Regions from separate parts of the Mus musculus genome. Here all the other regions are reported to be linked to region 3. Evidence: microRNA targets listed by miRTarBase, many of them from high-throughput screens and not tested one by one. Region 3 holds a microRNA gene; each other region holds the end of a gene's coding sequence.
The links. The annotated mature microRNA mmu-miR-1199-5p reads UCUGAGUCCCGGUCGCGCGG and lies in region 3 at 1,980-1,999, shown strand. An mRNA with a match to its seed (bases 2 to 7 or 8) in the 3' UTR can be bound and repressed. Matches are read on the target gene's strand: a 7mer-m8 pairs with bases 2 to 8, a 7mer-A1 pairs with bases 2 to 7 and ends in A, and an 8mer does both.

Region 1: the mRNA of Dennd6a is a reported target of mmu-miR-1199-5p. Seed matches in the 3' UTR shown: 7mer-A1 at 818-824.
Region 2: the mRNA of Sco1 is a reported target of mmu-miR-1199-5p. Seed matches in the 3' UTR shown: 7mer-A1 at 2,210-2,216.

What each region holds. Positions count from the first base shown.
Region 1 is chr14:26,629,188-26,632,287 of GRCm38, reverse strand. It overlaps Dennd6a (DENN/MADD domain containing 6A), which reads right to left. Exons shown (of 20, transcript NM_001134465.2): 20 at 1-2,860. The coding sequence ends at 2,729. Among named protein-coding and RNA genes, the nearest start is that of Arf4, 7.4 kb to the left of the region's middle.
Region 2 is chr11:67,063,783-67,066,882 of GRCm38, reverse strand. It overlaps Sco1 (SCO1 cytochrome c oxidase assembly protein), which reads right to left. Exons shown (of 6, transcript NM_001040026.1): 6 at 1-2,977. The coding sequence ends at 2,843. Among named protein-coding and RNA genes, the nearest start is that of Sco1, 13 kb to the right of the region's middle.
Region 3 is chr8:84,010,365-84,013,592 of GRCm38, reverse strand. It overlaps Mir1199 (microRNA 1199), which reads left to right and starts at 1,960; the gene lies at 1,960-2,078. Misp3 (MISP family member 3) reads left to right here and starts at 1,873. Exons shown (of 3, transcript NM_001291292.1): 1 at 1,873-2,452; 2 at 2,821-2,882; 3 at 3,101-3,228. The coding sequence starts at 1,909. The coding sequence ends at 3,115.

The DNA of each region.
Region 1 (3,100 bases), not on the chromosome of region 3:
AAAACAAGTAAACTCAAACACAAATACCCATAATGAGTACCACATCTAAACCGCTTTAAACCTCAGTACACTTCATTTCACTTCACTGTCTCTGCCTTCTGAGCACTGGGATTAAAGGTGTACACCACCGGCGTCTGGCTAGGATCTCATCATTTCACCTGTTTATAATAAAATACACACAAAAAGGTTTGGATTTTCATTTCATTTGGAAAAAAACTATCTAGAAATAAAATATTTTAATAATGTACAAGTTTCATTATGTATGTTTCTCCAAGTATTGCAAATATAAGAAATCCAAGTTAGGGCTGGGCACGTAGCTCAGTTGGCAGAGTGCTAGCCTAGATGCATGGATCCTTGGGCTCAGGCCTCAGCACTGAACTAGGCATGGTGGAACAGGCCAGCAATCTCCACGCTGAGGCGGTAGAAGCAGGAAAAGCAGACGTTCAAGATCATCCATGGCTACACATGGAGTGTGAAGCCAGTCCAGGATACACGAAAGCTTGTCTCCAAAACAAAACCAACCAAAAAAGAAGACACATAACACAAGCTACCTAAGTTTTTTAAAATCCAAGGCCTTTAATTCAAGCTTTGGGTAATGACCATAAATGCCTCCACAAACCCTCTTTTCCACTGTAAAGAGAAGGCACTAGGCATTACAGAACACCCTAAGCACTGATTCCTTCTAATGCTGGTGGAGATAACACATTAAACAAACCGCAGGGTTTGAATACTAAACTCCTTAAAAACAATGAAAGAGCCTAGCGGTGGTAGCACACGCCTTTAATCCCAGCACTCGGGAGGCAGAGGCAGGTGGATTTCTGAGTTGGAGGCCAGCCTGGTCTACAGAGTGAGTTGCAGGACAGCCAGGGCTACACAGAGAAACCCTGTCTCGAAAAAAAAAAAAAACAAAAAACAAAAACAATGAAAGAGACAATTCTGAAATTCTAAAACTGACATAAAAATTTAAGTTAACCATTCAGTCTTCCTTGGGTTTCCAATGCATAATTTGAAATTAAGAGATAAAGTAGGTGAATATGATTTGGTTTTCACCATGTGTTGAGTTTCTGTTATATGTGGTAAACATAAAGACAGCATTATCATGCTAATTGATATTTCATGTTTTTCTTTAGGTGTGCAAAATAAACTTCAAATGATATATCCTGTAGAAGTATATTTCAAAAATCCTTGATATAATACTAATGACTTTCATATTCATGTCACAAACTGTATATAAATTGTGAAATTATTAAAATACATTTTTTTGAAAAATAATAAGATGACCATTTCTACCTAAATAAAGTTTCCCAGAAAGTTATGAAGTACTTTAGCATATAAAAGTAGTTGCCCCTTTTCTGAAAGGTCAGTATTGTTTCACAAAATAAATTTTCAATCAATCAATCCAGACAAATGATTTCATTCAAATGCCATATTCTTCCTAGGACAGTGGTATGCTTCAAGAGACTGTATCCATGAGTAAGGAAGGGGCACCCTAGATATGAGACCACAGTCACACACACAGAGAAACCTTCTTGGATCAGGAATGCCCTTGAAAATAACAGCAAAAGAATAAGAGATGGCTTCTGAAGCCACCGTGTGGCTGCTCAGAAGGGCAGGTACTTAAGTCACAGCTATTTACACATGTGCTGCTTTGTGTGTGCCTATCTGAACAGTGGCTTCTGCAACACTCCCATCTGAAACCAAACTATCTCATTCTACTTTTGGCAAGGTAGTACAAACAAAATGAAAACAAACAAACAAAAGTGTAATGCTGATTTACACAAAAGGTCCCATGTCAAACAACAACAGGAAAAGTCTTCTAAAAATCATCCACTAGGGGAAATAGTGTCACCCAACAAATAACGTTAAAAGGTAAATGTAAAACTCTCAAATAATTATTACATGAATGGCTTATCTTTGACATAAAAATATTCTTTTAAAAAACAACTATGATGTTCATTGTGAGAATGTCTTCAAAAGACATTCAAGCTACCTAGTGTATGCAGGCCAGTGAGTAAAAGAGAGAGGAGAAATCAGCTCTTCCATAGCCAGAACTGCATGTGCCTCCTTCCTCGGAGACACACCTAAGTTGTGAAAATGGTAGAGAGTTGTGACATGAAAACCTACATGATAATTTAAAACAACAGGCAATAAACATGAGGGGCAACAAGAAATACTTTTGGGCAAGTGATTACTTGACATAATGCCTTTGAAATTATGTATCATAATTAAAAAAGAAAAAGCCTTACAATTAGCAGCTGGACCCTGTGAAACATATAGGACAATGGAAGGCACTACATAAGCCTCAGTTATATCTAACTATAGTTGGAAAGTTCAGTTTTTCCTTCTTAAGAAGACAGCCAGTGTGAACATTATTCTTCTATTCCCCTGAGTTCAACATGATTGGGCAAAGCAGCACCAATTTAAAAAAATATCTGCAATGCCGGCACTGCAGTTTGGAGTCACTTACACTGATGGCCCCATAGGTCTCTCATAAGAGCACTTTAGAACGTGATTAAAAATATGGAAATGTCTTTCGGTATTTCAGCATTGTGGAACCACCACAGAACGCACTACAAATGTCTGTGTGTCCGCTCAGCCTTTCCAGCTGTATCTAGCAATTGCTGCTTATTTCCGTGCTGTGCCCCTGAGCTTGCTCAGTGTGCGTCTAGATGAATGTCAGTATGCTTCCTGCTTCACAGTCCTTTCTGGCTGGAAAACCTGACAAGTGTTATGTCATGCCGGTCTTGAGCAGTATGCCTTGCAGGTCGTCTGGTAAGGCCAGGATAATTGCATCTATATGTGTCCGTAACTTCTCCACAGTGTCAGGCTTCACAGGTAAGCTCTCTCGGCCAGCCTGCAACTACATAAGGAACGGTTTTAGTGAATCTGTGTGAATATATTGTCTTTGCTACATAAACACCTTTTTTTAGAATGATCACTTGGAAGTTTAGGTCTCAGCCTAGAATTTACAGAAACTAAAATTGTAGAGAACATCAAGTGGGGGAGGGGTGTAAAGAGACCTTAATAAAGGCCATTCTATACACTCATAGATGAGGCCAAAGGATAGTGTGTGCCATAAAATCTAGGTAAGACAATGGTT
Region 2 (3,100 bases), not on the chromosome of region 3:
CAAGTAGGGAAATTATGGAAATTATGGGTGGTGATGTTTGCAATAAGTAATAAACCATTCTCTTCCCTTTGGGTTTGTTAAACTTTGCTGAGAGCTCTGCCTTCTTCAGTCTCTTTGTCCCTCTCTCACCTGGGGTAGCCTGCCCTTGCTATTGTGCTAAGCTAGAGCACGTTGCTAAGAGTTGAAGTCTTACACCCCAGACATGCTTTCTTTCAAGGCCACTCATAGGAATTCTTCTGATGTGTTTTGAGGTGTAGATTGTAGACAGTGGCAGGATACATCCTACACTTCCAGGTATGTAAGCCACTACATAGTTCAAGGCATCTCACTCTGGAAGGGGCTTTGTGTCTGCTTCAATTGAAACCAATCACACCAAGTCCTGCTGGAGCTGTGCACGTCTGGTTTGTGCTCCCACCATCTGATGCCTTCCTAATGCAATCCTGGTTTTACAAAGAAAAACCCTAACAAGCAGGTTGTTGCATTTGTTCTGGTCTACACTGAACCCTACTCTACTTGCTTCTTCCTTGACCTTAGCGCAGTATACACACAGTTACAGTATGATATAGAGTGACCGATGCAGAACCCTGAGATAAAGACATTAAATGGCTACTTAATGTCTTAAACGTCTCTGAACAGGGTGGCTGGAGAGATTGCTCAGTGGTTAAAGAACACTGACCGCTCTTTCAGCAGTTCCGAGTTCAATTCTCAGTAACCACATGGTGGCTCACAACTAAGGAATGGACTATACTGGTTCACTGCAGCTGACTGATTTAACAGAAAATAATTGTTTTCTTAAGGTTCTAGAGACTGGCAATCAATGATGGGGGTGTCAGGAGTCGGTTTCTTCTGAGGCCAGGGACAGACAACTGTGCTTCAGCCTGCTCTCCTGTGTTCTAATTTCCTACCCTTTTAAGGATATCAGTAGGTTTGCTTTAAGGAAGAGAAAACCTAACAGCTTCATTTAAACCTTATTACCTCTTTAAAGCCTTACTCTCCAGCTGTGTGGGGGTGGTGATGCCTTTAGTCCCAGCACCAAATACTACCCAGAGGCAGTGGCAAGTGGATCTCAGTTCAAGGCCAGCCTGGTCCTTACAAGTTCTAGGACAGCCAGGATTACAGAGAAACCCTGCCTCAAAAATTTAAAAACAAACCAACAAATAAATAAATGCCTTCTTTCCACATTCAGTCACATTCTGAAGTGACTGATCCAGGACTTGAATATATAAATTGTAAATGACATGATTTGGCCTATAACAAGTACAGGTGTTCTTTCATGGTGACATAAGTATTTTCATTAGGCTTCATGTAAGTACCAAGAAGTTAAAAACCAGAAGGTAAGCCTTTATTGCTTGCATATAAACTAATCTGTGTTTGGGAAGAATGGTTTCCAGCAAGGCTCATTTGTAGCATCTTTGGATTCATTAAAAAGGTTCAAGTTGAAAAGGAGATAGCCAAACCCAGGTATCAGGGAAGTTTAATTCAGAAACAAAGCCAAGATTCATTACTCAGCAGGCATCGTCTTTCTTACTCTCTTTTTTTTTTTTTTTTTTTGGAGACAGGGTCTTATTAGGTAGCCTGGTTGGCCCAAGACTCTCTATTAGACCAGGCTAGCCTCAAACTTGAAGAAGCCCCTGCCTCTGCCTCCCGAGTGCTGGGACTAACAGTGTGCACACCACACCCAGCCAGACGACATTCCCTGGAGTAGCTGCTGACACCTTTAAGAGCTGGTTATGCTTGTTACTTCTCTATGGAACAGATGACCCAGGTGTGGGCTCAGGTCCTCAGATCTCAGTCACTTGCCCCTGGAGACCCAGGTCTCTGTATCCCACTCTGACTCAAGAGAGGCCAGTTCCTGGCCTGTGAATCTGCATTTTAACAAGCACTTATCTATTTAACAAGCACTTCAGTCTGTGGCCTCTACCCCTACCATGGTGTGCTAGGGACCCATTCTTCACAGAAGCAAAGCCATGCTTGTCCAAGTTGCTGGACTGACCACATCTTTTATTTCATACATTGTGTAATCTGGTACATAAAAATTACCAGATCATAGACATGATAAATATTCTCATTTCCACGTGGTCTACCACTGAAAACCAGTCAAACCACTTAGCTATTAAAAAAATAAAAAGGATTAAAAAAAAAAAAAAAGCTGGGCAGTGGTGGTGCACGCCTTTAATCCCAGCACTGGGGAGGCAGAGGCAGGCAGATTTCTGAGTTCGAGGCCAGCCTGGTCTACAGAGTGAGTTCCAGGATAGCCAGGGCTATACAGAGAAACCCTGCCTCAAAAAACAAAAAATAAAAAATAAAAAGGTGGAGAATGAACCAAAAGTTATGTGCAAACAGTAAGTTTTCTCCTCCAGCCCAAAGCAGCACCTACTGTGTGACAGAGATGCAGACCTGATGGTGACATTCCTTTTCAAAGAAGCTAAGCTTCTACTCTCAAATATAAAGAGGACTTGAATGCCTATGCTGAGCACACAAATTGAAACAGCAAGAACATTACGGAAGTGACACCTTCCTGTAGAATTTGGCCCCCCTGAGCAAGAAGACACCGGCAAGGAAGCAACACTACTCCAAGAGTGCCATTCCTACAGATGTGCATTGTGTGCCTCTCTGATGGTTCTGGACGTCTGTTCTCCACTGGCTCTGACCACCCTGGCCCTTTAACTCATGGTAGTTTCCTGGCAGACTGGGTTGGCTGAGCCCCAGGGTAACATCTCATGTAGAATGATGTTCTCAGGGTATGAAGTCCATGTTGTATGTTACAGTATATAGAGGTTCCTCTGGGAGACAAAGCTTCCTCTTCAGCAAGCCAATCCTGCATCTGGTGACACGGCTCTGGCTACCTCTTCTTCATGTGTGACCTCATGTGTGCAGCAATTGAGCCGGCTATTTCTGCCTTCTTCTTGTTTTGTCCAAAATAATCAAGAAATTCTCCATCTGGTCCAATCAAGTACATTATTATTGTATGATCCACCTGTAAAGCGGAAGGGAGAAAAGAATGTGTGAATAAAGATTACAATCTTATTTTACCGAGGAGAAAAATGTTGCAGGGTAAGAGAAGTTAGCATCAGTATGTAAGTAACCACAGCAGTTCCCA
Region 3 (3,228 bases):
AAGATTTATTTGTTTTTATTTTATGTGTATCAGCCATGTGCCTGCACATGTATCTGTGCACCATGTTGGGACAGTGCCTGGGTTTGGGAGGAGGTCAGGTCCCATAAGGTTAGAGTTACAGATAGTGTGAACCATCCTGGTCATCTGGAAGAGCAGCCCGTGCTCTTAACTGATGAGCCATCTTTCCAACCCAAGAGGAGGCACCGTTTGAGGCTGGTTGTAAGAGAGGACAGACTGAAAAGGGTGACCAAGTAGTTGGGATTGTGTAGCCCTCTATTTCCATTTACTTTTTTGGTGAAGCAAGATCTGGAAATGCAGGTGTCCTGGAACTCATTACGGAGAATAGGGGCTGGCCTGAGACACCTCTACCTCTGCCTCCTGAGTGCTGGGATTAAAGGAGTGTGCCACCACTCTCTTAATCCCATTTAATCTTTCCATTTTCTTTAGGCAATTCTTTCTTCTAGGTTACTATAGAACACAGGGTGGGCCGGTTTTTGTGAAAGCCGGGTTCCACAAGGGCGAGTGGAAATGTCTCTACGAGTGGTTAGCCCTCACTCTGGGTCATCGACCCTGTCCCGAAACACAGATCGGGCACCAGACAAAGGTCGCTACTGCCTCCCGCTAACCCGGTGGCTCCTCTGCCCCATCTTGGGCCTCCTGGGCAAACTGGTCCAAGCTGACCGCCTTCCAGCCACAATTGCTCGGCTGAGGCCCGGAAGTCCTGTAATGTCTGTGCCCTCAAACACCGCTCATTCTAGCTGGACACTTGGCTGCCAATGCCTTGCGGGCTTTTCTGGAAGGTGGGGGTGGGGAATCTGCCCCAGGGTTTTGAGTGGCGGCAGCGCCGCTGCAAACCAGACAGAGCTGAGCAGCCCCGGGTAGCAGCAGCACCCAGTGCGGCGGCCCCGGGCGACCCTCGGGCTGGACTCGAGCTGTGTTGCCTCAGCGATCAGTGTGCAGAGAAGGCCCGGAGATCACGGGATAGGGGGCGGGGGGAAGGAGAGTGGTGTCGCTGGCCGCAGGCTGGCACTTGCTGACCTAGACTAGTGAGGTCAGCGAAAGACGACCGGGGAAACACTCTGTAAGGAGGCCGTGGTTCAGCGATCAGCGCGGCGCTCCGCTAGAGGTCAGGTCTCCGGAAAGTGATGAAAAAAAAAAAAAAAAAAAAAAAAGACCCCAGAATGCCAGCGTGGTACCAGAGGGAAAGGGCGACACATACCCCCTGGGTAGTGAGTTCAGGGAAGCCCTTTCCGAAGAAGCCACCCCTTCAGTCAACCCGTGTGTTCAGGTGGCGGGAATCCGGAGAGCAGTGGAGGCGCCCTGGCCCATAGGGCGGGTCCAGGGCCACTCGAATCCAGCTGGCAGGTGACGGGGGCGGTGCCCAGTCCTGCCCCCAGGGGATGTTCCTGGAGGCCAGAGGCGGGTCAAAGAAGAGTGCTGGCGACGCCTATGAACCTCGGGCGGCGGCTGTAACTACAGGTACTGCACAGGGCACCGTGTCCTACCTATTTGGGCATCTCAATTCGGCTCTGAGAACTAAAATTTTCAAAGGGCGCCTAACTCCAAACATCCATGTCCTCGGGTGTCCGAGAGTGGAGTCCTGGGGTCGCCTGAAGGCTACGTGTTCCGGGAGCCGCAGAGCCAGGGCACCGAGGGCTGCTGGGGGAGGCAGTGAGGTCCTGGAAACCTCTGGAGAGGAGCACTTGCAGACTCTGGAGCCAGAGAGCCAGGTCCCGCAGGTGCCAGTTGAGCACCGGACCGAGCGCCCGGGCGGTCCACAGCTGGGCCGCCTGGCACTAGTATAACGGAGGTACTGGGGCAGTTGTGCCCCTGTCTCGGCTCAGAGGCCTCCAGGTGTGTTTTCTACCGAAGCCCGCGGCATCCAAACCGGCGCCGGCGGAATTGCAGATGGAGACGCCCATCCAGCGCGAAATCCGCCGCAGCTGCGAGCGGGAGGAAAGCCTGCGCCGGAGCCGGGGTCTGAGTCCCGGTCGCGCGGGCGAGGAACTCATTGAGTTGCGCGTGCGGCCGGTGCTCAGTCGGCCCGGCTCCGGTACTCCGCTGCCGCGCGCCCTGGAGCGCGCTCGGGCGGGCGCGAAGATGCAACGGGACATCGAACGCGAGGCTCACAGGCAGGCGGCGCTGGCGAGCCCCGCGGTTCCGGAGCCTAGCGCCCGGCGGCGGCCGCAGCCGCTGGACGAACTCAAGCGCTTCTTTGAGGCTGCGGCGGAGGACGGCGCTGGCTTGCAGAGGCAGCCAGAGACCGGAGGCCGGCTGCACCCCGCCGTTCAGGACGGCTGTCCGGTACTGGGGCAGTTGCCACCGCTCGTTGCCCCGTCACTGCTGGAGCAGGAGGTGCGACGAGTGCGCGAGCGCGAGCGGGAGCTGCAGTTGCAGCGGCGCAGCATCTACGGCGACGCCGAGGTCCAGGAGCCAGCGCCGAGCCTCACCCGTAAGCGGTCCCCCTGGGCCCTAGAGCTCCAGCTGTCTCCACCTCCAGTGATCATTCATCTGTAGGCTTGCAGACCCTTAACTATTCTCCTGGGGGTTCACCTTCTTTTCTTCACTCCCACTCCTGGAGTGAGGATCCCCACATCCATCAGACCTTGGAACCTTGACTTCTGGCGTTCTCGGGTCCTCTGTAGTACTCGGGTGCCTCTCTACATTGAGTTTGCCTCATTCCTGTTCCTGGGTCCTCAGAACTGGGTGGAGGCCTTCATGGGGAAGAGGGGTGCACACCTGTATGTATATAAGGGGTGCGGCCATCCTCCAGCTGGCAAGAGGAGGGGCAGTCGCGGCTGAGTGTTCCTTCCCCCACAGCGAGCAGGGGAGATGGAAAATTGTCGGTGATCTGGCCTCCGCGGAGACGGGCCTCTGAGAAGGTGGGAGACTCCCTTTCCGATGCTTGTCGGTCTCCCAGCCCTCCCTGCAGCACCTGGGCACTGGGGTGGAGGGAGAAGGTGCCTCTTGGTCCCCTGGAGCGCCACTCTAACCCAAACTCAAAAGTCCTAGACGCGATCCAGAGAGTGAAGAGGAGGTGGAGGCCTAGAGGCCAAACTTCTCCCTGAGGGTGTTCTTTCTCTTCCCCTTTTCCTTCTAGGAGCGCAGACCCTGAGGTCTATGAAGGTTGGGACCTGCGGACAGAAGTAACATACCCTTTGGAGAACCAGGGTAGGGTTACTCTCCAGATCAGCAGAAGGCCTAGAGAGGGAAGGGCTAGCTTTCTTT